Yarrowia lipolytica: one gene and its partners. The protein of the gene in region 2 purifies or fractionates together with the protein of the main gene of each other region. This does not show direct contact. Links are inferred from orthologs where the notes say so. Each region holds a gene or a part of one and is shown on either strand. Other genes may lie near its edges. The genes, in order: YALI1_F25254g, YALI1_A04022g, YALI1_E00533g and YALI1_B20589g.

What was found.
Region 1: the proteins of YALI1_A04022g (region 2) and YALI1_F25254g purify together in Saccharomyces cerevisiae (affinity purification with mass spectrometry; 6 studies listed by BioGRID, with this or other methods). This does not show direct contact. The link is inferred for Yarrowia lipolytica from reciprocal best matches to the Saccharomyces cerevisiae genes GCD11 and RPG1.
Region 3: the proteins of YALI1_A04022g (region 2) and YALI1_E00533g purify together in Saccharomyces cerevisiae (affinity purification with mass spectrometry; 5 studies listed by BioGRID, with this or other methods). This does not show direct contact. The link is inferred for Yarrowia lipolytica from reciprocal best matches to the Saccharomyces cerevisiae genes GCD11 and GCD2.
Region 4: the proteins of YALI1_A04022g (region 2) and YALI1_B20589g purify together in Saccharomyces cerevisiae (affinity purification with mass spectrometry; 8 studies listed by BioGRID, with this or other methods). This does not show direct contact. The link is inferred for Yarrowia lipolytica from reciprocal best matches to the Saccharomyces cerevisiae genes GCD11 and GCD6.

The regions. Positions count from the first base shown.
Region 1 is NC_090775.1:2,522,242-2,531,510, reverse strand, and holds YALI1_F25254g (uncharacterized protein), read right to left. Parts: upstream 6,047-9,269; coding exon 3,179-6,046; downstream 1-3,178. Other genes in the region: YALI1_F25309g (uncharacterized protein), read right to left, coding at 1-526; YALI1_F25289g (uncharacterized protein), read left to right, coding at 2,467-2,494, 2,538-2,848.
Region 2 is NC_090770.1:398,940-406,646, forward strand, and holds YALI1_A04022g (uncharacterized protein), read left to right. Parts: upstream 1-3,274; coding exon 3,275-4,876; downstream 4,877-7,707. Other genes in the region: YALI1_A04006g (uncharacterized protein), read left to right, coding at 1,726-2,358; YALI1_A04044g (uncharacterized protein), read left to right, coding at 5,500-5,587, 5,731-5,912; YALI1_A04071g (uncharacterized protein), read right to left, coding at 6,338-7,707. UniProt on the Saccharomyces cerevisiae protein: As a subunit of eukaryotic initiation factor 2 eIF2, involved in the early steps of protein synthesis.
Region 3 is NC_090774.1:50,277-57,669, reverse strand, and holds YALI1_E00533g (uncharacterized protein), read right to left. Parts: upstream 4,360-7,393; coding exon 3,064-4,359; downstream 1-3,063. Other genes in the region: YALI1_E00574g (uncharacterized protein), read right to left, coding at 1-182; YALI1_E00551g (mitochondrial 37S ribosomal protein bS6m), read left to right, coding at 1,806-2,101, 2,477-2,498; YALI1_E00527g (uncharacterized protein), read left to right, coding at 4,612-4,651, 4,937-5,121; YALI1_E00510g (uncharacterized protein), read left to right, coding at 6,473-6,498, 6,630-7,393. UniProt on the Saccharomyces cerevisiae protein: Acts as a component of the translation initiation factor 2B (eIF2B) complex, which catalyzes the exchange of GDP for GTP on the eukaryotic initiation factor 2 (eIF2) complex gamma subunit.
Region 4 is NC_090771.1:2,055,045-2,063,124, reverse strand, and holds YALI1_B20589g (uncharacterized protein), read right to left. Parts: upstream 4,140-8,080; coding exon 2,094-4,139; downstream 1-2,093. Other genes in the region: YALI1_B20577g (uncharacterized protein), read left to right, coding at 5,328-8,080. UniProt on the Saccharomyces cerevisiae protein: Acts as a catalytic component of the translation initiation factor 2B (eIF2B) complex, which catalyzes the exchange of GDP for GTP on eukaryotic initiation factor 2 (eIF2) and is regulated by phosphorylated eIF2.

The DNA of each region.
Region 1 (9,269 bases), on a different chromosome or scaffold from region 2:
GAGACCAGTCGTGGAACAGAGCGGCGTAGTATCGCATCATGAGAGAGTTCTCTGGCTGGAAGTCATCACCGGCATAGTCTCCGACCATCTCGTCCTCCTTCTCGCCCTCAGGTCCATGTGTGTATTCCTCCAGAAGGTCACGGCACTCGTCCATCATGCCAGCAGGCAAGTTCTTGTCGTTCATGTGGTAGTCAATGTTGGCTCTGATGATACTGGCGGCAGTAACATTGGACATTTCCTCAACCTTTCGAGCCATGTAATGGACATCTTCAGGGTAGGATCCATCGAGCTCGGAGGGAGGGATGAGCAGTTGCTGAGCAACCCACTCAACGGTGGTCATGGATACCTCTGCGATACTGGCATCGTAGTCGGTTTGGTCCTTCTTCTCATCAGTGGTCTGAGGAGGCTCGGTTGTGTAAACAACTTCGTCGGAGATATTTTCCATGCTCCCAGAAGCAACATCGTTCTGGACGTGATGTTCTGCTGCCGACTCGTAGTAGTCGATAGGGGGTTCGTCGTAACCCATAGTGTGTGAGTGAGAGAGAGAAGTATTAGAGAGAGCTCTACTAAACCAGCCCAAGAGAACCCCATTACCATATATATCTGTCCATTATCGCGGAGTCTCTCGCGTGAGTCCATCAAACTCTACTTCCGATGGTGCCGTGCCTGGTGGGATGTCTGATAGACTTCAAAAAAGCGAGCGCGTCTGTCTTGTCAATGAGTCAGATTGCAGTGCCATGCCACTTGGCTGACGTTTTGCGAAGCGCCAAGAGATTGTAATTGAGGATTGCGAACGCGAATCTGGTCTTGTGCCGTTTGTTGAAGTGGTCCCCATGTAAATAAACATGCTGATATCTTGTCGCCATCTCGTAGGGCTGTATCATTCTCTATCCCCATACCTCGAGGGTAAGCCAATCAGTGTAACGCAACTCTGATACCAAACCATCGTTTTTGATAGAGTTCATGCTCCACCACCAAACAATGAAAATGATTCCAGACACAAGAAAAATGTCCTGCACAGTGCTGGCCGAAGCGGATTAACGCGGACCCTGCCAAGCCATTTGTCAGATGAACCACAGCAGCCGTTGGGCTAAGGAATCGAGGTCAAAAAGAATGAATGTCGCCCAATCCGGGTCTTGCACAACTACCCACCCTCCTCTCCACACGACTGATAAGGTCATACATTTTTTACGTATCACAAGCGCAGACAAGGTGTATATTTCTCTCTCAGCCATGCACTCCACCTACGCCAGGGCTGCAAGCTCAGACTTCGAGCCAGTTAAACTATCGCCTAAAGTGAAGCCAGCCTTGTCGAAACCGCGGAGCTATGAACCTACGGGCGTTTCGATGCGTACTGAACGGCACCGGGCCCATGCATTACAAGCTTTACTCACAAAGAGCTTTCCCCCCATCGGCATCGGGGCGCTTATCCCGACACATGAGACAGCATCATGTGTAAACTCACGTGAGGTGCCGTTCGTCGCAAACAGCAGCCCAGGGATTAGTTTTTCACCATAGCCCAAAAGACACTCGATATTAGCCTCTGCGGCCTTGTTAGCCGCTTCACGGTAGGCTTTAGACAGACACGGAATCCCGCCTGTGGGGTAGAAGGTCATTATCATTGTCATCAAGCTGACTGGCACGGCACGATCTACACCACTCTACACCTCTCTTCTCCCCGAGTAGAAGCCGTCTTCTGCACACAGGGGCTGCAATGACTGCACCCATCCTTCGAGGACTTTTGAGCTTAGCCGTTGTTAAAGGCTGTTTGACTAGCCCGTTTTTGGCTGCGGTGAATACAACTGTACGTGAATACGTGAACTCCGCCGAAAAAGCCCTCTGCATTACACTACAAGTAGCACTTTGCGCCATGAGAGATGACGCAGAGGCTAGTCCGAAAACCAGACGGACATATCACACCCAGTCTGTTTACTATTACCTCCCCTCCTTAGAATGTAGCGCCACCCACTGTAATTCTACCATGTCCAAAGTTTTCGTTTCCGGGGACATGAAGAACGTTCCGCTCCCGACTAGTTCCCGTCTGAGGAGCTATAATAGCGGATGAAAAAACTCAACTAGTGTATTATAGCGTATGATGACCCGGATTATGAATACTAACAGACGGAGCACTAGTGAGCCGGGGCGGAAAAACTAGACAGTGTCACATCCATTATTGATCCAAAGACGACTTGTTCGTCGGCGAGCACACAAGATTTGAAATAAGGAGACATTCCAAACTTTTTACGTATTAGAAACAGAAAAAGTTTTGCAAATCAAGTAGAGGGTTGCAGGGACCACGGCTTCGAGGCTCCAACATCTACGTCACCTTTGAGATTCGCTCTCATTCCTTATCAAACTTTTGGCCTTGGTGTAAACTAAATCCCAAAACGGTCACATTACGAGAGGAAAAAGATAGGGAACGTACCAGTACAAGTAGGCGAGCAATTGTGATCGTTTTGGTTGTGGATGAGTTCTGTTTCAGCACCATACTCCAGTTTTTACGTCGCACTGCGAGTCAATTTCGTTTTCAGCCAAAGTAGTGGCTCGGTTGGACGGCTCGGGTGGGCAGTTTCAGCCGCTTTCTACAAGCGCCTTTCACCAGGTTACCTCTCGTCAAGTCAAGCAGGCGGCTGAACTTTGCGTGCCGTGGTTTAAACCCTCGTGCAATCAACTGCAAGATAAGAAAACGGAGCCACTTGGCGCTGCAGACAATGTCCGTGAAAGTCCATTCTCAACGCCCAAAAGCAAGCCTCTGAAGGTTGCTGTCCCCGAGAGTGGCGTTTTTATAACACAGTGCCATAATCATATCCAACTACAAGTACTCTCTACTTGTACTGTAGTAATATAGGACATGTCACCTCTCGATCGTTCCATTTGATTCAGATAAGATAGCCCACTCTGTCGAGCTTGCTTTCGTATTCAACATGCCTCGCCCCTCTCATGTGTACCAAGCATCTCAATGAAAGTTTACTTGTATGGTTGTTTAACCCACCTTCTGATTGCATTTGCAATCTATCTGGAGCACAGCTCCCACTCTACTCTACTACAGTAGTACAGTATGTACCGTTACAAGTATGTGTACTCATACAGTACTTTCACAAACGCCACTTGTTCTACTTGTTCTACTTGTTCGTATCTCAACAAATCAGTTGTTAATCTATACCAATCACCTTTAATTTTAGTTTCGCTGGGAAGGAGGAATATATCGGCCTCCAGATCCAGCGCCAGATCCACCCTCACGTCGAGAAGGAGGAACGTAGCCTCCTCCGCCACCTTCTCGTCGGCTGGGGGGAACATATCCGCCTCCGCCACCTTCTCGTCGGCTAGGAGGAGTGTAACCTCCAGAGCCAGCTCCAGGAGCGGCTCCAGCATCTCCTCGTCGGCTGGGGGGGACGTATCCACCCTCTCGTCGCGAAGGAGGAACGTAGCCACCGCTGGGAGGGGCCTGTCGACCAGCTCCGGAGAAGCCGGCTCGCTTGGCTTCCAGCTTGGCCTCCAACTCGGCCTCCTTCTGTCGCTGCTTCTCGTAGGCGGCGTCGGCTCGTGCGTTGGCCTCCTCTCGGGCCTTCTTCTCTGCCAGCAGCTTCTCTCGCATCTCCTGCTCGGCCTTGGCCTTGGCTTCCGCCTCAGCAGCAGCCTTGGCCTCTGCCTCAGCGGCAGCCTTGGCCTCTTCCTCAGCTCGTTTGGCGTCAGCGATTCGCTTGGCCTTGACCTCCTCGATTCGAGCAGCCTTAGCCTCGGCGAGATTCTTGACGGCCTCCTCTCGAAGACGAGTAAACTCAGCCTCTCGCTTGACACGGATATCGTCTCGGAAAGACTTGTAGAAGGGAACGGCTCGCTGCAGACGCTTGGCCAGCTCGACCTTGGCGTCGTGCTCGGCCTTGGCGGTGTCCTTGATGAGCTTGATTCGAGTATCGTAGATCTCTCGGTCTCGCTGCTTCTGCTTGACAAAGTCGTCCTCCACCAGCTTGATCTCCTCCATTCGGTAGGCTCGCTCAGTGTGGTCGATTCGCCGAGCAGTGACTCGGAGTCGGTCTCCAAGTTCCTTGGTCTCCTTGGCCAGCTGGTCCACCTGCATCTTTCGCAGAGCGTTGGTGTCCAGACCCTCGAGCTTGTCGAGATCGATAGTGATGATACCCTTCGCGTTGATCTCCTCGGCCAGCTTCTTCTTCTCCTCCTCTCGGATGGCGTCCTGCTCCTTTCGGATCCGCTCGAGCTCTCGGGCGTGCTGCTCGGCAGCCAGACGCTCCTTCTCGGCGAGCTCCTCGTCCAGAAGTCGCTGAGCTCGCTTTCGAGCCTCCTCTTCCTCTCGCTGAGCTCGCTCGGCTTCAGCCTGGGCCTTTCGGGCCTCAATTTCAGCTCGTCGAGCCAGAGTCTCGGCGTGCTCTCGCTCAGCATTGTCCTGAGCAGTAGTGAGAGCAGCCACGTACTGCTGCTCTCGAGCCTCGGCGGAGTTGAGAGGGTCAGCAACAGAGAGAGTTCGACCAAGCCGAGAGAGCTGGGTTCGAACAATTTCAATGGGAGTGTCCTGCAGAGAAGCAGAGCCTGTGGCGGCTCGGACCTCCTCGAACAGCACGGATCGCTGGTCGTGGTCAATCTTAATGGCCAGCTCGCCCTGAGCACAGGCTCGGACAATGAACTGCTCAATCTCCAGAGGGGTAGCAGAGAAAGGGGCAGGGAAAGTAGCCAACTGGATGACAAAGTCAAGCTTGACGGACTCGTAGACCTGCGACAGCTGCTGGAAGAGCCGGGTGAGAATGACCTGGTAAAGAGGGGCAAAGTAGGGCTTGAACTCGGGGGCCTCAGCGATAGCGCCAACCACGGGGGTCAGCTTGGCTCGAATAGACAGAGGGTGAAAGTCGACCTCCAGAGTCTTGTACAGAGCCTTGATCTCAGGCTTGACGTGAGCCAGAATGTTTCGGGACAGCGCAGACTTGAGAAGAGCGTCTCGAGTGGGGGTTCGCTGCAGGTTGAGCAGACCAGTGAGCCGGGTGTTTCGGTATCGATCCTCGGCGCTGGAGTTGTGGGGGATGGCGAGGGCAGACAGAAGCACAAAAGAGGCGACTCGCTGGTACTCGGACACGGGGATGGCACCTCGGGGAGACTGGGACAGCAGGTGGAAGAGCTTGTTCCAGGCCGCAGCGTGGAAGAGGTAGTTTCCGGCGACCAGGAAGATTCGGGCCAGGTTCTCGTAGTAGTTACCCATCATCAGGGGCTTGGCGGGTCGCTTGGAAACTGTCAGCAGGGTGTGCACATCCTCGACGGATCGGAAGGCCTCCTGCCACAACTCCAGCTTGACGGCCACGTTGAGCTGTGAGAACCGGGTGTCAAGGTACCGCTGCAGAGTGTCAGCATCAGACAGATCGACAGAAGTTGCGGTCACGGGGGGAGCGTTGGGGCCTTTCTGGGCAGTGGTCTGCAGATGGGATCGCAGAAGCTCACAGAGTCGTCGGAACTCGGTCTTTCTAGAAAACTTCAGACAGAAGTTGAAGGCCTGCTCGACCACCTGCTGGTAGATGACCTCCAGCTTGCTGTTGTTTCGCAGAACGTCCAGCACGCTTCGGTAGGCCTCCCACAGGAATTTGAGCCAGGGGGTTACGACCCGTCGGTCAGTTCGGTCCTTGGTGTCCTCGGAGGACACCGTGGCCAGAAGCAGGTCTTCAGGCGTCTCCTCGGCCTCCAGATCGTCAGCCTCCTCCTCGTCGGCAATCTTGTCAGCCTGGGCCTGAGCATCAGTAACTCGCTGCTCGGCCAGAGACAGAAACTGCTTGATAACAGGCTCAATGGCGTTCACGTTGGTGGACTGCACGATCTTCTTGTACTGGTGAAGACCATCCTTAATGATTTTGCCCTTGCGCAGGTCAACGGAAAGTTGCACAAATCGAGCCACGATGGGCTCCAGAGTAGCCACAGAAGTGGTTCGGGCCTTTCGGGCAGACACAGTCTCGTGGAGAAGCTCCAGAGCAGCATCCTGCTGGCCCACGGCAATAAGCTCGTCGGTTCGCTTCAAGACCGTCTCGGGACGGACGTTCTGATGGGGAGCCATATTGGTGGTGTGGTTGCTTGGTAGGTGTAACTAGAAATTTTTCAGCAGACGTGTGAGACTTGCAGGTAGGGTAACTTTGAGGGTTAGGCAAAAAGAAGGGATTGTGGTTGTGACGAGGGGCAGAAGTAGAGGGCTGCGACAGGGCGTGGTGCTTGTATTCAGTTTTTGGAAGTAGAATTCTATAAAGCTGTCCCATTTCTCCTCGCATTATCACGTCATCATCAGATCCACTACCTACCATTAGCTCCTAATTTTTTTACAGTGGTGTTTAGTTAGTTAGAGTTTTGTAGTTGGGAGACGAGGAAAGAAGATGTGTGTGCTGTATGTATATATATGCAATTTAACTAAGGTCACATGACCAGACAGAGCCTCGTATCGTACAGTAGGTGTGGAGGAGAGCATGACTTGGAAAGTGTCTAATACGACGGTGATGATATATCTTGGTAAGAGTACTGGACTTGAATGAAGTTGTGCACTTACAGATATCTCATGATCTTTCTCAGGTTTGAATGTACTGTAGGTGCACGTATGTACAGTAGTTTGTATGGAGTGGAACTAACATGCCTCCTGACTGTTGTGTATCTCTGGTCTCTTTGGTCTTCAGATTTCCCCGGTAATCCCGGTGATATGCTCCCTGTTACCTTGAACCGCGGCTTCTCTGATATACCTTCGGGCCTGTGTTAGAGCATTAGTTGTGTAGAGCGAGGTCAGAGACTCTGTGGAGCTGTCGGCTCCGTTGTAGGAGTTGTAGAACTGCTGTATAAGCACACCGGGTTCCAAATGTCATCTATATCTACCAATAAAAGAACTGTATCGTACCATCGCGGTATCTGTAGGTTCGATGGACCAGTCCTCGAGTACATCGTACATACTGTAGTTCACGGAGAGTATATGGGACCCAAAATGGACGAAAGGAACCTGCAACCGCTTTTTCGAGTGCATTGATATATCAGTAATGTAGCTATTTTCAGGCTTTCGACCTAACTGGTACTGTACTACGAGTACTCTTGTGCCATGATGCTCAAAAGTCTGAAGTGTCTCTTCATCTTCCCTGGCGTTTTGTAGCAACACTGATTGCTGGGCCTTACTCTCTCAATGCTGTGTAACTGTACAATGTTACTGACGAAGAGATCATGTTTGATGGATACCTCGCGCTGTTCTCAAATAGCTCCAAAAGTCGAGCGTATAAAGTGTCCTCTCTTGGCCATCTCTTGGTAAGAGAAATGATACTGTTCGCACTCATGTAAGGACGGTGGCGGTTTAACGAGATACCAAATCCACTACAGCTTGTGTGCATACAACGAAGGAGGAAACCCTTGTCCCTTACTACGCTCCCTTTCATTGTATAATGAGCTGGATATGTTGGAGGGACACGCTGAAGAGTAAATGGGAGCCTTTCAAGCTCCTAAACTTTTGATTCTTGAAGTGTCAATAAAAGTACCTGTACTTCAGATTTGATGAATAAAGACGTCCATCTCTCCGACACTCCATCTCCGTGTATGCTCTGGTGACATATGGTTCTTGTGCTACAAGTATTGTAGTGGAAGGTACACTCATGCATCTGAGGGGAAGTGGCATGATGTGTGTATGACCACGAGCAAATACATGCAAGTGGCTCGGGGCTGTACTGTAGATTGTGCTGTTTTGAGAGTCATTCTGCGCTCTACGATATTCGAACTAACAGCCGTAGTTCGCTGGCTATATCACAGCTTGAGCTACTACTGCACGAGTACGAGTACGAGTGCAAGTAGTTGACCGAGAAGGTGTATGGGAAGGAAGCTAAGGTATATTCTGCACATATTCTGTTGCATTAGCTACTGTATGTACTGACACTCGTGGTCTCATACAGAAGGATGGTCTATTCAAGTACCGGAACGATTCTGTATCTGTTGTTCATTCCCCCATACACCATGCACAACCAATGTGACTGGCATTCTACACATAACTCGTCAGTCATATGCCGGCAATCGATTCTGAACCCCATATTAAACCGAAATAGCTGTTGACAAAGAAGTGGCCAGTATGCAAGGATGGATGCTCCCACATGGGGATGAGCAGTCTGCTTGATTTGTCAGGTTGTGACAGCTTTACCATGAGTCATGTACAAGTACAGTGTACTGGTAGATACAACGCTGGAACATGGGACATTTTTTAGCCAAATATTTACTCAATGTTTACCCGATGGTTGCTTGAATACGTCTCCTGACCTCCTTCAGCTCCTAAATTTACCATTTCTCTCGCGTTACTCGGTCTAGCAGATGATCCACGTTGTCGATGCTCAGTTATGCCCGTCAGCTGTGCGGTTAAATGGACAATCTAGCGGAGCGGAGATAATGGAGTGGGGGCAGGAGTCTTGTTGCACCGTCTATAACGGTGGTAGTTCCGTCGGAAGTGTTGCAAAAGGGGCTAAAAAGTAGTACCAGTATATACACAGGCAGCTACATTCCGTCAGATGATAGCCACTACTAACTTGAGTCCGTGTTTGCTGTCGGAATTGGTCGGAATTCATCCCCATGGAACACGCTGCGCGCTCTGGATAATTCTCTCATCGGGACTCGGAGCTGTATTACACTCGGACCCTGTTTAATCTGAGTCTGAGTCGCAAGGGTTAACGGCCTCGGTAGAAGGTTGAGTTGAGCATGTCAGACGTGGACCAACTGAATACTAAATTATATTTGACGGGCCTGGGATTCCGAGGTCTGGTGGTTTGTTGCTCGACCACCTGGTTCTGTCTAAAAGTCGATATAGACTGTTCGCCACCTCCCCACATCCACCAGCCATTGCTTCGAGCGGTGCTTTAGCTGCTGTTGCACTTCTGTGACTAGTTGTAGTCCAGTTGTGATCACCCCACACATTTAGCGCCGCTGAGTTATTCACGTTCCACAGTTTGATTCAGTGGGAGCACTCAAACTCTGGCATGGTCCGAGTAAGAGGTGGTTGTTCTGGATGGCGTCCCTCAGAGCGAGCATCTTCTTCAAGAGACGGCACACATTGTAGATACCCTACAGCAGCTGTGACCCTGAAACATCGCCGTCTGTACGGTACGGTGCGTATATCGATACCAATGCAGCCGTAGCACGGCGTTTTACTGACAAGGCGCATCTATAACAGAGGATCCAGTTGTACCCAAACATCAGAATGGTGGTCGATACAGCGTCGTCACAATACAGTTAAAGATGATGATGTGTAAGACAGAACATGAAACCGAATAAAAGTACAGTAT
Region 2 (7,707 bases):
CTTGTGAGCGAGCGGTGACACGGAAAACGCTCGCACGATCCACCTGGCGATCGAAACCTTGTAACTTGCGAGAAACGGGAGCGGCACTGGTCTCTAACGGCCGAGGAATTGGATATATGGCACGGATAGCCACAAACCAGCCGGAAAAGAAGGGAAAACGAGTATCGCACGAGCAGAGCGGAAGACTCTCGTCTTGAAAAAGATCGGCTTCGAGATGGGCCTATTGACCTACCACCATTGACCCGTCCCCGAGCCTACGAGTCTTCGATTCTAGAGGTTCGCCTTGTTCGCATTTGCAGTCTGAGTTCACGAGTGAGACAGGGCCAGAATACGGTCCGGTACGAACACCCGTTGAATAACACGGTGAAATTCCACATGATAAAAGTAGGGGCAAAACCAACTGCAGCCTACAGCCAAGCCGACGCCCAGGAAGTAGGGGTATGTGCACTGAGAGGAGTGCTTATATCGGTGGAAGCATACAAGGATGTGTGCACATGGAAGTGTGCCAGACATGCGTTCTTCAGGCTTCTGCTCTGTGAGTTTACCTGGATAATAAACCTGCAGTTGAAAAGAAATATCAATGGGCAGTTAATTGACTGGTACTTGAGTGTTGATGCGGAAATGAGGGGGTGAATAGATTCTCAATGTGTGGATTCGCACTATCAATGACAAGAATCTGTCCTGTTCCACCGCCTCTGTACCGCTTCCACTGAACCAACCCACTAAATCAACCTCGGTTGCTTGCGTCTCTCAAGTTAGCACACATTATCCAGGGCCACAGGGAAGAGCTGTATAGTTTACGCTGTACGACTGGGGTATGAGTTGGTATCGTACTTGGATGTAACACAACTGACGGCTTTCAGGGACCGTGAAGATCAATACCTCGGCGGTTGTTGTCTGCGACATACGCATCCATTGAGAAGTTGGAAATACGTTTTGAAAACCGTTTTCCGGGGGTTCTTTCACCGTATATTCGGTTTGCCACTCTCGCTTTCGATGCACGCTTTCACGTTGGGCTTACAGAGACCGTCAGGACCAATGTCGATCTTTTCCCACACACTCAACCTTGGGACTTCACAGTCAGGCACAGATCGTGCCCGCAACTAGTCGCAAGACAGGTTCCTTCTAGTGTAATGGTCTTTCTAACACCATCAACGGTTTTCTAGCTGCAAGAGAATCAGCTACAAGAGAATCAGCTACACCCGCGTCATGAAAAAACCACCACCCAAACCTCACTTGGATTTCCTCTTTAGTATAGACTTTGAAATAGCGTTGCTGAGACCAACCAGTAACTGAGCTACGAGTTAGATATTATTCATACTGAACAAGTAATAAATGATTCTCCCAAGTATGGTCGATGAATGTACGTACTGAGAAGCAGCCAACTCACAAAGTCGCATTACATACACACAAAGTCGCAATCAAAACACACATTTCTTCCTGTACCGAACCTGTACAATAGGAATACTGTATCCACCCAACAAAATCTCTTTGTCGTCTTTTCACGCTTTCTGAGACAGTAGATTTCAGGCCACCGCTATCAGGCATGCAAATCAACCATAACCGTAACCTACTTGGCCACAGAAGGCTCAGGTAACGGTGTCGATGGAGGGTTTTCAGGCAATATAAACCCGAGGGGACCCTTCTCCTCGGCTCCCCAAGCCTTCTTCACCCTAGTCATTCTCTTACCCCCTTTTTTTACTTCACCCTATACCCTCTTTAATCATGCTCTTCCTCAAGACCATTGCTCTGGCTGCCACTGCCGTTCTCGCCCAGGTGTACGAGCCCACCTCTGATATCCACTTTTACGCCCAGTCTCAGGACAATGTGGCTCCCTGGTCCCAGTCTCTTCTGACCGTCCAGGACTCTACTCTCGTGGCTGTCACCACCCTGACCCCCAACGATACCACCTCTGCCTTCGACACCCACGATGACAACTTCATTGCTCGAAACGGCAAGTTCCTCGCTGCTACCGCCAACAACGGCCTGGTGCTGTCCGACTCTGCTCCCACCCGGCAGCTCAAGTGGGTCTCTGGCTCTCTCAACGTTGTTGACAACGGCAAGACCTCTCAGCTGGTTGCCTGCCCCTCCACTGCCAACAACACCTGGGTTATCACTCTCAACTCCAACTGTACCAAGGGTTTCCGAGTCGCTGTCAAGCCCCGAACCATCGCCAAGAACACCAACACCTTCTCTCAGATCCCCGTCAACATCACCCACTCTTCCTCCAACATCACTGGCCCCGTGTCCATCGCTAAGCCCGAGCCCGCCAAGGAGGACGATAAGCACAACGGAGCCATGACCAACAGCGCTGGCGCTGTGGTTGTTGCCGTTGCTCTTGTTGCCGTTCTTTTCTAAGTGACGACCGGATCGTTTCAAATCACATTTTGTCGTTTCTGGCTTCAGAACAGACACACACCACCAATGACTTCGCCTCAGATCGCAGTTTTTCTGCTCCCTTAAAACATCAAAAGATCAGATTCCACATCAGATCATTCAGATTCATGTATATTTATCATTCAATGCAGGCAGGTTATAAGCAGGACGATAGTAGACAGTAGTAGACAGTGGACTGGTTGGTACAAGTATCAGTCCACTGATCCATATGTAATCCCACTAAAAGGGGACTTTGCAAGACGTGGTAAGCGCAAGGCAGCCATGTCGACGTCACCTCGACATGGAAAAGTCCTCATATCTAGACCATTACGATCAGAAAGTCCATATATCTGTATACATTTGGAATCAGCATCAACTTTCGAGTTGAGTGATGAACTTTTTATCACCACTTCTCTTCAAAGCCACGATAGTATGGTCTGTATCGTACAATGTACTTGCGACCACTCTCTGATGCTGTGTATAATCCAAGAGATAACACCAGAAATACAAATGTGTCGACAAAATCTGCAATACTAGCCTATCTATATATTCTTTTTCTGATTTTATTCCACGATCAATCCCAACTATTGACCCCAATAATCTCATCTAATTACTTGTACTCTAATTACTTCCGCCAACCATCCATGTCTCCCAACATCATGACTCACGCGATGAGAATTTGACTATTTCTGCGACAATAATTCGGGTGGCGTTATATATATAGAGGGCGCACCGGCATATATTTTTTTCCTGCCACCTCCCCAGTACAATAGTTTATGTGAGGAGCCTGCTGTACCTGTGCTTCTGGTAAAAGCAAGGAGGCTGACTAACGTACTGAAATGTACGGTGACAGACTGAGATGTTCCAAACTCTATAGTGAAAATATGGCCTTCTTGTGATGCGTCATACTACGAGGCTACCCTACGACACACGCAAAATGACTGATTTCGAAGACGCTACGCCTGATGTGGTGATTGGAGGCGACATTGTGGCCGAGAGCCAGTATTACGAGGAGGAGGACGAGGACGACAACATTGTTGAGGAGACTTCCGAGGTCAAGAAGACCGTCAAGTTTGCCGATGATGGCCTCACAGATGAGGAGCGACGAAAGAAGGAGTTTGAGGAGGGAGGAGGGCTCCCCGAGCAGCCTAGCGACCCCGATTTCACCAACATGACCGGTGTTTCGCCCGAGATTATTGGCCGACAGGCCACCATCAACATTGGTACTATTGGTCATGTTGCTCACGGAAAGTCCACTGTGGTCAAGGCCATCTCTGGAGTGCAGACTGTGCGATTCAAGAACGAGCTGGAGCGAAACATTACCATCCGACTGGGATACGCCAACGCCAAGATCTACCGATGCGAAAACAAGGACTGCAAGCGACCCGGCAACTACAGATCGTTCCGATCGGACCGAGAAATCCACCCCAAGTGTGAGCAGCCCGGCTGTGACGGCCGAATGGAGCTGTTGCGACACGTGTCTTTTGTTGACTGTCCCGGTCACGACATTCTTATGTCCACCATGTTGTCCGGTGCTGCCGTCATGGACGCCGCCCTTCTGCTGGTTGCCGGAAACGAGCCCTGTCCCCAGCCCCAGACCTCTGAGCATCTGGCCGCCATCGAGATCATGAAGCTGCGACACGTTATTATTCTGCAGAACAAGGTCGACCTGATGCGAGAGGATGCTGCTTTGGAGCACGAGCGATCCATCTCGCGGTTCGTCAAGGGAACCGCCGCCGCAGACGCTCCCATCGTCCCCATTTCCGCTCAGCTCAAGTACAACATTGATGCCGTTAACGAGTTCATTGTCAACCGGGTTCCCGTTCCCGTGCGAGACTTTGCTGCCTCTCCCCGTCTCATTGTCATTCGATCTTTCGACGTTAACCGGCCCGGAGCCGAGATCGACGAGCTCAAGGGAGGTGTTGCTGGAGGATCCATTCTCAACGGTGTCCTGCGACTCGGAGACGAGATTGAGATTCGACCTGGTATTGTCGAGAAGCAAAACAACGGCCAGTTCAAGTGCAAGGTCATCCGATCCCGAGTCCAGACCCTGTTTGCCGAGAACAATGACCTCAAGTTCGCCGTGCCCGGTGGCCTTATCGGTGTCGGAACTCAGGTCGACCCCACCCTCTGCCGAGCCGATCGACTGGTCGGTCACGTTCTGGGACACAAAAACGCTCTTCCCGAGATCTACATCGAGCTGGAAATCAACTACTTCCTGCTGCGACGACTTCTGGGTGTCAAGACCGAGGACAAGAAGCTCACCAAGGTCGGAAAGCTGGCGCGAGGCGAGGTTCTCATGGTCAACATTGGTTCCACCACTACTGGAGCCCGTGTCATGAACGTCAAGGCCGATATGGCCAAGCTGGTGCTCACCACCCCCGCATGCACTGAGCTCGGCGAAAAGATTGCTCTGTCCCGACGAGTCGAGAAGCACTGGCGACTTATCGGATGGGGTTCCATCAAGGAGGGTTCCACCATTCCCCCCAGCGAGTTTTAAAAGGTATAGATTAACGATTGGAGATTGACGATACAAGGATCCGAGTAAGGAATGAGCGACTGTTATGCTTAACGTACGCTGTGTAGCGATACAGTAAGACCGAAGCTGTAGATGTATCCGAAGCACTAGTGGTATGTACTGTAGTGTACTGGACTGATACTTGTACATACTGCACACCTTGCTGTACTGAAACGCGATAGATAACACCAAGTATTGATTATATGAAGAGCTACTTGCCCGTCTTCGTTGGTTCTCTTGCAATCTGAGGCAAACTAAGTACAAGACCTCTACTGTAGACAGCCTCTGAGGTCTCACTGTATCTACTGATTCACGCCGACACAGGGCAAATCTGGTAAGCGAGAAATATTAGTATCAAAAAGATCAGACAGACTTGAAATTACACTGTAGTGCGCTTTCATTAAACATCAGTATTTTGCTCAGCTTGAATCCTTTAATTGCTTCTCCTCCCTCTGGTTGTGTTCTGAAAGGGGAGGGCATCGGTAGACAGAAATGGCGACGCATAATTGATCCATTCTAGCTGTTGGTAAATCAATCAAAAAGTATTGAAGGGTTCTCACAGTTCCCTTTTAGTCCTGTCAATCAACACTAACCCTCAAACAAATATGAAGGTCTTCTTACTCTACTTCGCCGGCTCCCCGCCGTTGACGAACCCAGCTTCTTGGTTGCTGAAAACGAGCTTTGACTCCGAAAGTTGCTACTGGACTATAGCCATACTCTTGTTACCACTCTTCCAAGCCAACCCTGTTATTGAAAAGGAAGTTGTTGGTGTTGATAATGCCGTCTCTCTCCCCTTCATCCGGCTACTTACCAGAGAGCGAATTGTCAAAGCCAAGAAGCTCCAGATCAGAATCACCGAGTTAGATCAGATCACGTTGACCTTGATGCTGCTAACAAGCGAGATATTGCCGTTCTCAAGGTCACCGGCTCCAATTTCCAGTCTTTTGCCAAGCGCTTTGTCAAGACCATTCCGGTTCTGGTCCAAAACTTCGTGCCTTCTCAGCAAGTTATGGCTTGAGACGGAGATGTTACCCTACGAGATTGAGGGTAAGTCCTTGGTACCGTTGAGGTGGTCGAATTAGTACCATTGGGTTGGTGGAATCGGTCTTCGAGTTCTTCCTCCCTTTAGCCCCAAGTAAATGCTCTACTACGACTACCAGGGTCTGTCAGCCGAGACCGACAAGGAGCTCAACTACCGACGTGGCGAGGGTCTAGAATGGTCAACTTCAGAATTTCGGAGGTGATGTTTGGTTCCCTCAGCCCGCTCTCAAGCTGACCACCCCGTCACTACGGCACCAAGCGTATTAGTAGGATTAGTTCAAGTTATAATATCAGACCTTTTGATTATCCCTCACATTCATCGGACATGAATCCCATCTAATAATGGTGCACATACAATCTATCTGCCTGTATATATAATAATTTAATCAATAAATACATGTATCAGGCCTTTGTAACCAGAGGATACTTTCTAGGCCGACCTCGAGGACGTCTAACGCCGCCCTGGTATCGCCGGTCTCGACGTCTGGACCTTGATTTCGTGGTTCTTTGGGGAGCGGCTTTCTCCACTGTGGTGACCATTCGAGGAATGGGGTAGGCTGTCTCAAACTTGGAGTAGTCTGTTGTGGACTCAACCTCGGAATCGACATCGTCAGCGCCAGCATCACTCTCGCTGTCATCATCCTTCTTGTCCCCTTCGAGTTTCTGCTCCTCCTCTTTGACCCCATCACCGTCCTTGTCATCCACTTCGACGATCCTCATTCCAGGCTCCAAGTCCTCTCTAGTAGGAACCTTTGTGAACGGCCACTCCGGCACCGGAGCCCAAATCAGCTTTGATGGCTCCAACTGCACATAGTTGTTTGCCTTGTACTTGTTGACGACCATATCGATGGCCTCCCAATTCAAGCGAATGGCATACTTGCCTGTCTCAGGGTTTCTGACCAGAAATTCGAGTGACTCAAGAGCAGAAATGACGTCGTCAGGTGTCATGCCGGTGGATTTGGTGATGTCCATGACGGAGAAGTTTGGGATGGTTTTCTTGTCGGCCGCCTTTTCGCGAGCATTGAAAAAGAACCGGCAGATCATCAGCCGCCAGTACTTTCTGTAGCTCAGCAAGCCCAGGTCACTGAGGGGTTTTTCAGGCGTGCCTGGGCGACCTTCGACTCGACTCAGCAGGTACGAAAAGTCAATCAGCAGCTGTCCGTATCCCTTTCGTTGGAAAATGGGGAGAGTCAAAATGCAGGACACGTTGTTGGTGCCTGTGGTTTTGTAGGGTTGTTGTTTTTCCTTGGAGAAATAGCCGACGAAATGGCATCCGAACGCGTCATTTTCGGTCAGAACGTAGAACATGAAGGGCTCCACGTCGTAGTAAAGCGTTTTCGAGTTGAGAAACATTTTGGCCAACAGACACAGGTTCTGACAGTATAGCTGGGCACGCGCACCATCAACTTCCCAGATGGAAATGTTGCCGTGGCGATATATTTCTGTTCCGGGAGGGTGACGGGCTGCACACTTTAGTTTGTGGCGTTTGCGCACGTGTCCGGAAGACATGTACTTGAGACAGAACTCGCACAGCGGTAGCACCTTGTTTCGGGCGTATTCTTCTGGGTATGGCGCTGTATGCCAAGTGTTGATTTCGTAGTCGCCAAAGTGGATGCATGTAATGTTGGCGTTCTTGGTGGTTCCCAGCGACGCATCTCCTCGGGAAGACCGTTTGGACTCGGCCAGGCTGAGAGTCTTTGAGAAGAGTGCAATGTCGTCGGCGTTGGGGTTGGTTTCTGCTGTCGATGCGTCCTCGCCCACCAGAGCTCCTC
Region 3 (7,393 bases), on a different chromosome or scaffold from region 2:
TGGAAGGCAACCCAGTCGTGATCCTCGGTGAACTTGAGGGTGTACTTGTTGGAGTACTTGTCGGGAATGGAGCCCTTGATGAGGGTGTGGTTGAGTCGCATCATGGTCAGAGGAGCCATTGTAGGAGCCATGGTGGCTCGGGGAGCGAATCGGAGGGAAGATCGGGCCAGAGTTCGAAGCATTGTGTGTGTTTTTGTGAGTGTAGTTGTGGTGGTGGAACGATATGTTGTCTGGGGTAGGCCACAGTTAAGTTAGGTGGATTGGGGTGACTCGGTTTGACTCAGTGAAGGTAGGGTAAGTGAAGTAGAGAGAACTGTGGGGGTGATCTGATAAATGTGGGTGAATAATGAATCACAAGAATGAGAATCAATATAGACGAGAACAATTCCCGACCACCCTAGACTCTATATACACCACACAGTTGCTCACAAACTCGAGCTGTTCTAGGCCGGCAACTAAACCTTGGACTATTGAGACAGCCGCCTTAACGAGATACGATAATGTGCAGTAGTTGCAACTGCGTACTCAGCTGCCTGTCAGACTCAGTGCTGAGAACACGATAACACTGAGTACAGTTGACGCGGGTGACATGATAGAAGCCGACTTGAGCTTCGAGAAATCGAATACTTGGGCCCCTTCTGTGATCTGTCATTGCTCCTGAAGGGCCATCCCTAGACTGGAACCACGGTCCAATTCACCCCACACAACCAATGATTCAGCCGCACATGGGTCTGATGCGTACTTATGTGCACAACTTGCAGGCTCGGTGCTTCATCAGAGGATACTATGGAAGCAGCTTTCAGGCGACCGTCTGAATAGGGGACAGTACGAAATTTGGCTACAAACAGGCATCTACAGTATGTACACACGAGTAGTCGAGTGGCTGAGAAATAGTTGACAGATATTCTACAAGTACAGACGTGTGTCGGTTGATCGAGAATCCATATCTTCTCAAATGATATACAGGAGAGGTAGACTTTTTCTTTCTTTCTCCAGCGCCGTTCCTAATACTTGTACTATTACAGTATCTCGAGATATCACCGTTTTCCAGGCACTTAGGTAAGTGTCTTAGTTGGCTGATTACTTGGGTAAAATTTGAAAGCCAGGACATCATCAATATCATTTAACTAATGTCTGTTAGCTGCACAAAAATGGAAACAATCCCAGAAGCACTCATAGCTCTTGCAAGATACCATTTATCAATAGACCCCATCAAATAATCATCATTAACCAGGACTGTGGTCTCGAGAAATGTGACAGGCCATCAATGCTCTTCCTACTGTAGGTTAAAACAGGTTAAAACAGGTTAAAACAGGTTAAAACGCCATCTGCCCGTAATACTGTAGTCAGTGATATTACATACAGCGACTCTCTCAGAGCAAGCTACAATACCTGCCGGTATGGTACTTGTCCGAGATGTTGCACCCACAGGTCATTTCCAGGTATGTACAGTACATACTTGATACTGGTACATGCTCCGAACGCAAAAAATGCACGTGACTTTTACCTGAGCAGTAATTAGAGATGAATGTTAGCAGCATCTGGCTTACATGAACGCAGTCATATATTTTATCCACTTTGAGAGCAACCAGACCCCTCAGGTAAATTTCCTTTATTGTTCATATATCCGACCTACCTATTTCGGCTCGATATTAAAGTGCTCTTAATTACTCACGTATTGTACTGACAGACCGACCATGTTCAGAGTGCCAAAATAAGGTTGCAGCATCCAGTAACATTTTCAACCTTCATCTCTCACACGACGTCATCGCATCCCAACTACCCCTCTACACAACAGACTCGAAATGCTCTACGAACTCGTTGGAATCGCATCGGTGACTCCGGCACACGCGGCCGCCAAGCAGGCCGTCACCCAGATCGGCCGAATGATCATCGGCAACAGAGGCGTGGTCCGCCTCATTGAGTGCTGGCGATTCAAGCCCCTGCCCCAGATCATGAAGGCCCAGCAGAAGAGCTACGTGGTCGGCGACTACTTCTACATGAAGTTCGACTGTTCTCCCGGAGCCCAGGGCGAAATCATGCGAGCTGTCCAGGCTGACCCCCGTTTGATTCGAACCTTTTGCGTCAAGCTGAATGAGAAGTGAGTATGATATGGTTGCTCTTGAACAGAGTAACGAAGCTGGAGAGCTAACTGGGACAGGCGAGAGCTATTTTGTGAGCAGAAGTGCCCGTTTGGACAAAAAATGAAGTCTTTGCTCATTCTATCCTTTTCTATTTAAGATGCTCTTTTGACAATCATTCTCTAATCTTGAGTGGCGTCTTGAATAAGCAACCCAAGTCTAGACACGGACATGTTGGATTCTAGTCTTCGCCAAGCCGTCGGAATTCCTCCTCTGTTACCTGAAATAGCACCTCGAGCTATTAGAAGCGACCAGACATTTATATACGACTTGAGGCAGTTCCTCGTTGCATTCAAACAACTATATTTCTACACATCTTCAACATACTAACACAGATCCAGCAAAACCCTCATCTAGCATCTCTATTTAATGTACATATTCGACACAGTGTAAGTGATTTTCTTGCCTAAGGCGTGCCTGTAGGTGGACAGTATGTTCAAACTTCAGAACAAGGGCATTAGTTAAGGAGTAAAGACGACTCTTGCCCGTCTTGTGTGTGATACAACTGTTCTTATCTCGTGTATCCGAGACACTGTTTTAGCTAATACATGGTCTCGAACACGGGTGTGTGTGCATACTCATAAGACTACATACCGGCACTGGTACGAGGGAGTAACACTGTCAGTAACTACAACTGTTCAGATATGAAGTCAAATAAATCTCTCACGGCTGCAATATCGTAGATATATACTGGTGCCGTACATACCTGTACACGGATTACAAGTCGTTAATCGTCTAAAGGTCTATGCGAGTGTCGTCATGACACGACGACTCATTGGCAAAAACTGCATATGCTACCTTTAGTATGTACTGTACATACATCAATATCACACGAACCCCATTAACGTACTGTTTATTGTCTATATTTTAGTCCCCCCTTGTCGTTCCTCTATCTTACAAATACCTCTCTTAACCTCCTCCCCTACATAGTGTAAGCGGACTTGTATTCTCGCATGATGACGGGAACGGCCGAGGGAGGCAGATGACCCAGCTCGGTGATAATCTTGGTGAGATTTGCGGCAGGAGTCAGATCGTAGCACAGATTGAGGTACTTGAGCGAGGTCTTGGCCTTGTCTTCAGGAAGCTTCTTCTTGTCACTGATGTAGGTGTTTGCCAGCATTTCGGGGAAGGCCAGCTCGTTGAGAGTGACAGAATCGAGCTGGACTCGGTCAGAGAACTTCATGGACTCGCATAGGACGATCACGGGGATGTTCTTTCGCTTGGCAGCAGTGGCGATGAGGGCAGAGCCGACACGCGAAAGCAGAGCGCCGTTAGAAAGCATGGCATGGGCTCCCAGAAAGACTCGAGAAACGTCGTCCAGAACATGAGCCAGTGCCGAAACCAGAATGTAGATGCACTCAATGCCCCGGGCAGACAGATCTCGAGCCAGCTTTCGGCCCTCATGCAGAGGTCGGGAGTCGACCACAATGATCTTGAACCGCTTACCGGCCTGGTGAGCAGCAATGAAGGTGTTCTCCACCACCTCGGAATGTGCAAAAGTGAGGACGGTGTCACCGTCGGCAATGTCGTTGACGGCGCTCTCCACGATGACGGATCCACTCACATCGATCTTCTCCTTGATGTACTCGTCAATCTTCTCCACCAGCATGTCTTTGGCAGCCTGATCGGACATGTCAATGCTCACCACAGAAATTTCCTGCTTGAGCCACCGAATGGCATTACCCATGGACACAGACAACGGTCGTGCAGAAATGACAAAATCAATCTGGTGACCAAGATGTGTAGTGAGGTTTCGAGACAGTGTAGTTCCCTCGGGAGTCTCGTAGTCAGCAATAACCCGCTGGAAGGCCTGCAGAAGAGTTCGGGCTCGGTCAGAAGAGCCCACAATCTGATACGACGAGTACCGGAGTGCCAAGGTGATCACCTCGGGATGCACGTCCTTGCCAGCATCCGCTGCAGTCACCTTTCCTGCCTTCTCAAGGTGCCCAAACAAAGCGGGTCTGGAAGCCCGGGTTCGATCCTCCTTGGACGATGCAGAGGCGGACGATTGATTGCTTCCGCCTTGTGTGTTATTGCTGTTGTTTCCGGTGTTTGAAGATGAGCCTCCCTCCTTGGCTGCGGCCTGTTGCTGTTCCTTCTTGGCCTCTCGTGGATCTCGAGTAGGAGCCTGGCCCGATGCCTCCTTGGAAGCCGCACGCTTGGCGGCCTTGGCGGCCTTCTTCTGTGCCTTAAGCTGAGCGGGTGTAAGTTCTGACATGGCGTGAGAGCTGTGGTGGTTTGATGATATCTCCAGTTATAGTCATCAGACTAGATTTTTTTGCATATATTAGGGTTCCAGATTTCATTCGGGGGTTTAAATATGTTGCAACCACAACTCGAACTGACAACTACCAAGATCATTTTAAAGTTACCCGGCTTTCCCAACGAATCACAGCACCGCAAATTGCAACCTCCAAAATCATATTGCATCACCAAAGTCATCTCTGGAGCACACACCAATACCGCAAAAATGGCTCTGTTTACTTCGCTAGTCGGTGCATCCGGTCTTGGTGAGTATCGCAATGCGCGACGAGATTGTCCACCGACAATTTCCGCTGCTTCGACGACATGTTTTTGTGTCTTAACCATCGACTTGCAAGTGACACAAAGGGTTCTAGACATGTTTGACCAATCTTGACTGGAATTGGAGTGGTTGTTGGCACGGATCAACTGCATTGCTTATGATGAATCAAGCGGTGATCTCAGATCGTCTTCAATTCGGTTCTGATATGGACTGCACACCAGATACCAATCATGCTATCAGATATCTTCGCACACATCACATACTAACTCAGGATTCGCTACCAAGTTCCTTTCCAACAAGATCCGACTCAAGCCTGCCGGCTACTACCCTCTCGGATACGTTTTCTCCGGTGTGGCCTGGGCTGGCCTCGGACTCGTGCTTCACAACGTTCATCAGCACTCCTTGGAGGTTCTGGAGAAGAAGAAGACTGCTCTCAGCGAACAGCGAACGGAGTAGACACGGTTTTAGATAACAACGATAATTTATGCATGAATTGACATTTCATATTTGTCTGTAGTGGGCCATGCTTAATAAGCACCTCATTCTTTCGATTAATAAGCACTAATTAACAGTCCCAAGGTGACCCCTAACCTTTGTGTCCTCTTTCGTTTATTTGGCACGTGACCTAAAAAGGCTAATGCTAGAGACTGTCGCGTTGTGTAGAAGGTGTCACCCCGGCAACAGTTTAGCTTTTCACATGCCAGCCCTTGGTGACAGGCTAAAATAATAACAGTACGGTCTCAGATGATTGTTCATGCCGTCTCAGAACGGCTCTGTGTTTTTCTCTGTTTTCGGCGATCGACCAGAGGCACCATGTCACATGTTGAGCCCCTGAGCCCCCTGTTTTTAGCTTAAGCCATACGCATTTTAACGGTGCGTACTGCAGCTCAAGAATGCGTGTTTTTCGGGAGTCTCAGGGGTCCCGTCAGGTGCTGTGAACGCGGTAGGAGGGAGTGTTATCGATTAAACAAGTAGTATGCTGTCAACTTGTCGGCCCTATTGTTCTAGTCTTTTGGGCCCATTAATTTCCCTCAATTTCGCCCGTTTCAGCGCGGCCTTTATTTACTCATTTCTCACTTCAATTTCGCTTCGTTTACCGGTCACAGGTGTTTCAACCCCTTCTTTCGGAATGTGTGCAGGGGCGCATTATTTTGGACACGTAGTACCGGTACGAGTACATACGGGGGAGGTGAATCACGGGGGCCCACGAGGACAAGTACTGGAAATAATAATAATGACACGTGCCAGCGAGAAACAATTACACGGACATAGTTGAGTTGTATTGTATGTTTGCACAGAGTAGTGACTGATTTTTTTTTTTTATTGTCAATAGTCGGCTATTTACTGGAGATATTTCTTTGAAGATTGCCACAACGGACCTACCGCGTCGCTCCATGAAACAAACACCTATCAGAATTGGGGAGTTAGAATGAACATGCTAGATTTGGCGCCATTAGCTCCCGCTTAGGTGCCACCTGGACAGCTGCTGCTGCTGCTGCTGCTGCTGTCTTGTGTTTCGCTGAGCACGGTTACTTGCAGGTTAGCACTAGCACACAGAGTTTGACTTTCCTTCCAACACATCAAACAGGAGAAGGGTGTTTAGTATCGGGTGTTATCTATCTTGAGTAACATTTTGCAACTACGCTACCGACCACACTTGGTTCAAATTCCTTTGCGCTTCTTCCTACGACACAAGCCCACACGTGTTTTCCCCCGTCCACACGTCGTGCAATAGGCTTATTAATTCAACACACAAACACCACACCACCACACCACCACACCACTATCCACACGGATCGACGCGCTCATGGCCATCAGTTACGAGCCCGGAATGTGAGTATGACGAGAAGGGGAGGATGAACCGGCAATACCACGCCGAAAAAGCTGGTTTCGCGTTTTTTCGGCGTTTCATACGACTGTCAAAATCTCGTGATAAACCCCTAATTACACAACTGCTAACACAGCCGCTGCTGGATCCGAGACGAAAAAGAAGGATGGGTGGGTGCCGAGGTGGTCGACCAGAAGACGGATGGTGAGAAGGTGACCATCAACCTGACACTGGAGAACGGCGAGGAAAAGTCGGTAGAGACCTCCGTATCTGTGCTCAAGTCGTCAGCCGAGGTCCCTCAGCTCCCCCTGCGAAACCCCCCCATTCTGGAGTCCACCGAAGACTTGACTTCCCTGTCCTATCTCAATGAGCCCAGTGTGCTGCACGCGATCCGAACCCGATACCAGATGCTCAACATTTACACCTACTCGGGAATCGTGCTTATTGCCACCAACCCTTTTCAGCGGGTCGACAACCTCTACACCCCCGACATTATCCAGGCCTACGCCGGCAAGACCCGTGGTGAGCTTGAGCCCCATCTGTTCGCCATTGCCGAGGACGCCTACCGATGCATGCTGCGAGACAAGAAGGACCAGACCATTGTGGTGTCAGGAGAGTCCGGAGCAGGAAAGACCGTGTCTGCAAAGTACATTATGCGGTACTTTGCCACAGTGGAGGATCCGCTAGCACCACGAAAACGCGACGTGTCACAAGGTGACTCACTGTCCCACGTCGAGGAGCAGATTCTCGCCACCAACCCCATCATGGAGGCCTTTGGTAACGCCAAGACCACCCGAAACGACAACTCGTCGCGGTTCGGCAAATATCTGGAGATCAACTTCAACAAGGACGTGGACATTGTGGGTGCTCGAATCCGAACCTTCTTGCTGGAGCGATCTC
Region 4 (8,080 bases), on a different chromosome or scaffold from region 2:
CAAGCACGGGTTGACCGGTCGACAGTTTCACTGATCGGTAGAAGCTGTTGCTGTGGAAGAATTGCGGCACAATAGGCACCAAGGGTCCATATCCGTCAATAGATGGCAGTGGAGGTAATCGGCTGTGCTTGTTGTTGTCTCCCTGATCATTCCCTCCTCCATTTTCCCCGTTTCCTCCTCCGGAATCTCGTCCGCCACCTGGACTCTCATCTTCTCTGTCATGGTCACATCCCTGGTCGCTGGAGCAGCAGTCGTTGCCACCACTGCGATAACGCGAGGAGGTGAAGCCCAGATGCTGTCGGTAGTCAGTATTAAGCGAAACCGACGACGGGGTAGTGGAATATGACTCGGAAAAGCCATTCGAATTGAGCCTTTCGCGAGAGTAGTTTGGTGGGCCGTACCCCGTGTACTTCGCCTTATTGCGAGTGGTCGAGGGCCATACAAACACTGGGTTAGCCGTGGTTGCGTGGGGATTGCATCTCAAAAGGAATACTCACTTGTGTGTTTTGGTCCGACCGATACAAAATGTTGCGTCGTCAAATGTGTCGACCAGTCAGTTCAGTGTTTAGACAGGTCGCACTGGCATGCAGCACTTGGTTGTGGTTTGAGTTTCACCATTTTAGAGTTGAGCCTTGAAGCATGAAGTGACTGCTTGAAGTTGGAGGTGAGAGTGGCACCGTTTAGAGAGTTAGTGTCTGTGACGTCAGTCAATAATCGGAACCATTTTTGTCGGATGCAAATCATTCGGGGAAACTCGTATAGCCACTGGGCTACCTCGTGAACTCACCCAACAAACCAATCTCCCGTAATTTCCCTGCTATTATCTATATGGATGTATGGTGGTAGGTACTTTCTCGCTAATCTAAAGTCAGACGTCAAATGTATACGCCGCAAACAATAGAAGGATGCTAAACTGCCACTATTACCAAAATCACAGTAGTCGGCGCATGAAGGGGCATTTAGGTATCGTTTCAGCATCACTGTTGTCGTTTAAGCACCCAAAGCCATTCAGAAACCTCCTCTGGCCCACGCACACATCTCTTGCACGTCACGCTGCATAATTGCAGGGGAACCAGGGGAACAAGCTCCAGTCAGAACTTTGGGAGTAAACTCTATAAGTACGGCACTTGTTCAAGTATAAGTAAAGTAGAAAGGTTACTTAGCGAGGTCTTTCCGTGAGACTATGAACAATGTACAGCAGAGAGGTTTGCTACTGTTGATTAGATGAATGTGGGGGTACCTGCGCAACCACTTCCAGCTAGTTACATATATATCGCTCCACACTAACACACAGTAGCGGCGGATAACTGTGCCCTCGAAGGTTTAATTGCATTAAACGTCTTGTCCTGTGACGTGTTGGAGAGAGCCAGCATTTCAGATCCTACTGTACGATTATGAAAGTCACGTACAGTACTCGTATTTGTATAGAGAAATGTACTTATGTTAGTACTCATACCTGCAATCGCCTGCTCATTTGGGAGAGTGTCAACAGATCCTGTTATATTAGTCCTCAGCGACCCATGGTGGATGATCTCACACCGAAAAAAAATGTCTAAAAATAGACACATGTAGATGCACACATGTTCTGCTGGTCTCAGATAATCTCAACTTTTCATGCTATCCGAGGCTCGTGGATCTGGCGACTCTACCACATCTGAAACCGAAAATGTAGGGCGAGGATTGTGCATTTCGGAATGTCTCGCTGTATCCATGGGATGCGGAGACAGTGTGGATGCACCTGGAAGAACCCAATGACGCTTTCCCAAGCCCTGAGGGGTTGGACCTCAAACGGCCAAATACACTTCTACTGGTATCATAACTACTTGTAATGGAACCCTGTTTCGTGTTAGCCCGACGCTCAGATCTACCCATTACGAGATTTAAAATAACGGCTTCAAATCATTAGTAAGTAGGTGCGTTTTCATACAGTGTCATACAAGGGACATGCACATTCCCGCTCACATTCATCACATGTCTCATAATGGATCTGAGACACTTGTCAGACACTCCTTCATCGCTAAAGTAGTGTCGGTACTTGGATTTCGGGTACCATATCTAACCGTCTATTCATATATACACATGCGCTGTAAGATCTAATCGGACTCATCCTCCTCCTCAGACTCGGACTCGGCCTCCTCCAACCACGTAACCCACTTACCAAGCAGAGTTCGCACACTGGCAATCTCAGGAGACACATCCTCGGGCTGCTGGTGCCACCATCGCACAATGACATGCTCGTCGAGAACATCAGCGTCATACAGACTCTGCACTGCAGCAAATAGAATGTAGTTGCCAACAGGACGACGAGAACAGTCTTTGAGCAAAATGTTGAGCAAATCGATCTGGTCGGCAGGTTCAAACACCTGCTTCTCAAACAGCTCGGCCCACTTGCCCCACACCTTCTGGGTGGGCACCTTGTGGTCGTCGGTGACACCCATATTGAGAACTCGAGTGATGTAGCCGTTAATGGCCTTGACAGATGCAGCTCGAACCTCCTCATAGGGCACGTTGGAAGACATTCGAAGAGTACCAAGTTCCAGAGCAGCGATATCAATCTCGTGGTTGTCCTGGAAAGCTCGGTCAAGAGAAGCGATAGCCTCCTTCTGGAACTCGTCCTCGTGGTTATCTGAAACGTTAGAAACTGTGGAAGAGAGTCGCCGTCGCGTCTTCTTTTTGGGAGCCACCGCTCGGATGTTTTCGTCATCCTCGTAGCAGTGGTCGTTGATGGAGGTGTCAGAAAGGTTCAACTCCTTGAGATTGTAAACCAGAGAGCCGACGTTAGCGTTGAACTCGTCGTCCGTGTCGAAATCGCTGTCATCGTCGTCAATAGCGTCGAATGGAATACTCTCGCCAGCGTCCAGAACGAGATACGTGCCCTCGATTTTCTGTCCTTCCTCCACAGTGACGCCATGACCAATAATAGAGCCAGGTCCAACGCTGCAGCCCTTCTTCAGAATGGCTCCATCCGCAACAAGACCACCGTTGACAGTAACATCGTCCTCAATGATAACATTGCTCCAAATGAAGGAGTCCACCAAGTTCACATTAGTGGAAATCTTACAGTCACGTCCAATAACAGTATCCTTAACCATCGATCGCTCTCCCACGCTGGTTCCTCTTCCCACCAATGATCTCGATCCGATGACACACGACTGAGCCAACACAACACCCTTCTCCTTATAAATGTGGCCCATTTGGTAGCTGAATGTCTGGTCATCCATGAGGTTAGAGTCAGGAACGACAGGGTAAGAGTACCGTGACACGATATCCTTTGTGACAGCAGAGTAGGTCTGCAGTGATCTCACTCGAGCAGCGTAAGCATCGGTGACAATGTGGGCGTAGATCTTCTTACCGAGAATCTCTGAGGTCAGGATGTTCTTGACAAAGTCGGATCGCAGGGTAGAGTAGTCGAAGTTCTCGGTGAACTGGGCCAGCACGTCGATGGAACACAGATCAATGTGGCAATCAATGAGATCATTTCGAATAGACAGAGTGGCATCGTCATTGAGCAGCTCTCCGTCCAGATCAATGGACCCAGTGGGGTTGTTGAGAGAAAGCTCCTCGTATCGCAGACACTCAGAGGTCTTGTCATTTAGCACAAACAGACCTGGTTCAATTCGGGAACGGGTTCGGTGGAAGGCATCGGCCTGTCGCAGAACCATGGTCATCATTGCGTTCTTGTCATCCTGCTTTCGCTGGAGATGCTGCTCCAGAACAGGAGTGAAATCGATGTTGGAGACTACGTCACCAGAGACAAGCAGAAAGTCGGAGGTGATGGAGCCGGTTCCATCGAGATCTCGCATGGCATCTCCAACAGACATACTTTCGGTCAGCTTCTTGGTGTGGATCTCAAATGGCGAATGCGAGTCAGACCACTTGGATGTCTTGATGTACTCCTCAATCTTGTCAGCATGCGAACAGCACATGAGGAAAACCTCACAGACACCCGCCTTGGCCAGGAACTCAAAGGTGTATTCCAACAGAGGAGTGTTGGCTAGAGGAAGCAGGCATCGAGGATAGTCCTTGGTGAGGGGTTGGAAACGAGCCTGATAGGAATCTGCGAGAATAACTGCCTGTAGACGGAAGTCCTTGTCGATGGCCGACTTTTGGGGTTTGGCGTTCTTCTTCTTGGGGGGCATTGACGGTTAGTTGTATTACCTGGATAGTGGTTCCAGTCTTTCGGTTTGAAAAACGCATCGGAGCATGGGGGTTTGGGTTTTAGTCTCAATTTTTGCGAATAAAGTTTTGGCAGGATACCGTAGAAGTAGAAGGACAGAGTCATATGGGTTTTATTCAATGAGTAGCGAATATAATTCGACCATTCTACTTTTGTTGTGGTCAAAATGCTAGTGTAACTAACTGAGACAAATTTTTTTGTATGTTTTGGTCCCTATGGACCTGCCTTCCTGCTTATGGTTGTTTTTTTTGGAGTTCACTGCCTGTAATTGCTCTGACCGGGATGTACATACTTCATATGGAGTAGTTACCAGATCAAGTGCTTTACCATTATCTTCCAACTTCTTTTATTTATATACTAGATTCATGTCCTTTGCCTCGACTCTACTCTCCTGATCACCTCTAAGTGCTTAGATAATGTACTGTACTAATTACCAGTACGAGTCGCTCACTCTCTGGATGGACAGTTCGGAACCCCAGGCATTTTGTGATCAATCTGACACCAATCAGGTATACTTGTTAGCCACTGTCTGACTCTCTGACGTGTAGAGCATGTGCCCAATTTTTTTTGTTGTTCATTCGGTGTCACGAAAGGCGCAGTACGGATACCACTGTGAAGGGGAGCAAGGACCGCCCTCCCAACCCCCTATTCTACCCACACCCAATCATTGTGTGGGAGTCATACTTGTATAGCTTTCCGGAGCCGGTCACGCTTGCACACCATTGATCAAATCGACATGCAATTTATTATTAGCAGATATGTCTCTTGACTTTATGCCTTGTCAGGCTGAAACAGAGGAATGGTCCAAACATGCATTGTAGGCGTGTATTTACTGTAGTTTCAAAGTATGAGTGTAAGCATGGCGAATCTACTACTGATTAGAAGAAAGAACCATGAAGGCTGCACCCATTGCTATGAGCCGCTGACGAGATGGAAAGTAGTCGGATTAATAGACGCGTCACGTGACAGCAGTTCTATATTGGTTGATATCTATTTATTCATATCTCACGTGACAAGCCTCCTTGGGTTAGGTTTACCCTCCCTGTTGGTATGCATCGCTACAGTACAGTAGCATTAAGGCAAGGTATGGGTCTACTGTAGCGACGATACACAGCACAGCACTTTGACCATCACACGCAACACGCCCACCATGTCATTCCAAGATTCGTTTTGGACAAAGGACTACATTGGCGGTGTACAAACCGTCTACGACAAGCTCCAGCAGGGCATCCAGGAGAACCAGGAGGTACTTAACTTAGTGTCGTCTCGAATCACGATTGAGGAGGGATATGGACAACGCCTTCAGAGCGTTCGAAGCTCACACTACGCCTCAAAGGTGGGGTTTGGACGTGACGAGGGAGCCACTCTGAAGCAGGCATACGAAGGAATGATTCTGGACATGTCCGAGGAGGGATATGCTCATTATCGGGTGGCTTCAGCTCTTGATAAGAACGTGCGGTCTCCATTTGCGCAATGGTCTGAAGAACACAAGCTGCGTGTAACCACAGCCTGGGATACGTACCATGTTCGTCAACGGTCCTATGAGAAGCAGCTGGCCACGACCAAATCTTTGCAGAGATCCTTCTTCAGCAAGTGTGCTGCGATGGAAGACCTGACCCAAGAGAGCAATGTCGCGTTCCCTACTCTACCACAATCACCCAAGACTGACGGTAGTGAGTCAATTCCAGGTTCTACAGCCGCTTCCACTCCTCCCTCTAGCTCTGCTTCTGCTGCCGAATTTGATGGTGGCTCTAAGGAGACTCAATTGGGAGGTGAGACATATTCGGAGGCTGCTCTCAAGATGATCTTTACCGACATGCTCAAAGAGATCCCTCTCAAGTCTCTCAAGGTGCCCATCCTGGGAACCTATAAGCGGATTTCGACTGGCGACCAGATTGTCATGTGGCTGAGAAAGAACATGGACATGCCCAGCATCGCAGCTGCGGAGAAGTTTGGACAGGACCTGCTTGCACAGGGATACATTCGACTAGTTGGACAAGTTGGAAACAGATTCGGAAACGCTTCTTCTCTTAACTATCAATGGCAGGACTCCGTCATGGCTATTATTGAGGGTAAAACCGACGCTTCCCATGAGCCCAAGGCAGAACAGACTACTTCGCACTTGCAGCCCGAGTCTCACACTGCATCCACTACATCCACTCTTTCGGGATACATCAAGAAGTTCCGAAACCAGCCACAGACGGACCCTATTCAAGCCCGAGCAGAAATGCTGCAGTTCGAGCAGCGATACAAGGAGGAGGTTGAGCAACTGGAACGACTGCGATTTGAGCTGGAGGAAAATATTCTAGAGGTTTTGTCTTTCTTTGAGAAATGCGAACTCGGGCGACTGGCTGCCTTGAAGAGAGTTATGCAGGATTTCGGAGAAGCCATTTCAAAGGGAATGGAAGGTACTCAGACTACAGCCGCGAGAGTTGCTGTTTACCACGAATCTATCCAGCCAATCAAGGATATTAGATATACCGTGGAGAGGTACAAGACGGGTCACTTCAGTCCCAACCCTACAGCCTACCGAGGATATGAAGAGAAAGTAAGTGATGAATTCTTTGGAGTCGAGCTGGAACGACAGGCCCTCGCTGAATTTGAAGAAGGTAACGCCAAGCAGGTACCCATGTTCGCTCAAGTGCTGTTGACGCAACTGGACAGCTCCTACTCTGTCGATGATGATCTATCAAAGGTTTGGAGATCAGACGCTGTTTCTCTCAAGGAAACCCACCAGCTGAAGCGGCTTGTTGACACTGTAACCAAGTTGGATGCGCGTCGCCTAACCAGTCTCAAGGCCAGTGAGATCATTGCTCTTCTCAAACTCTATCTCCTGGAGCTCCCTGACTCCGTGGTTTCCTGCAACATATATGACCTTATTCGATCTGCGTATTCTTCGAATCCTTCTGAGGGGGACAGTCTTACAGCTCGACTTCAAAAGATCGAGTCCACACTTTCTCAGCTCCCCCAGGTTCATGTGGATACTCTTGAGGCAATCATCAAGCACCTGAAGCGATTCATTGTCATGTCCAAGATCTCCGACGAAGACGTCGATTACATTTTTACGGACTTGGCCCGTGTTATTATTCGACCCTGGACTCAGAGTGCCACTACAATGAACAGTAAACACGGCGTCAAATTCCTCAGAGATCTGGTTGAGAACGGCGACAAGGTATTTAGCAGCCTTGATACCAAGTTTTTGGCCCAGAGAAATAAGAAGAACCGCCAGCGAAACGTCTCTTCTTCTGAACAGAACAGAAAAGCACTTGCTGAAGCCCGTCAACAAGCCATTGAATCCGCTACCAAGTCTCGAAACTCTTCTCCTCGAAGACAACTCGATGATACCTCTTCGCCCGGTATTCCTCTTTCCGTAGCTCTTTCTCCTGCCAGAAAGCGATCCGACTCTACAGGCACTCCCAATGGTGGAACTACAGGTACTCCCCGATCTTCTCGAAGCCATCATCAGCAGACTGTGCGTGGTTCGGTGGATGTGGACACCCCTACTCGTCCTAGAGATCGAGTCGGAAAGACCTCTGCTGTTTCTACACCTGTAGTTCACCAAGGCACCCCCATGGGCCAGAACACCCCCTCTCTGCCTCACCCCACAATTGAAGTGACTGGCACCTCTGATACCGAAGAGAAAGACAAGGAGGGACCCAGTAAACTGACCTCCCCCGGTCGATGGGAACGAGCTTCTAAGCCTTCTGCTACTTCTCTGGACGATGCTGACCTTAGCGAGTCTCCTGCCATTGAACACTCGGCTGCTGGTTCTCTGTATGACACCATTCCCAAGCCCATTGACACTGACATCCCTGAAACCTCCAGAGAAGACAATATCCCTGAGGATTCCAGCCCCCTCGATGATATGATCACAACTTATGAAGCAGAGTCGAGGCCTACTTC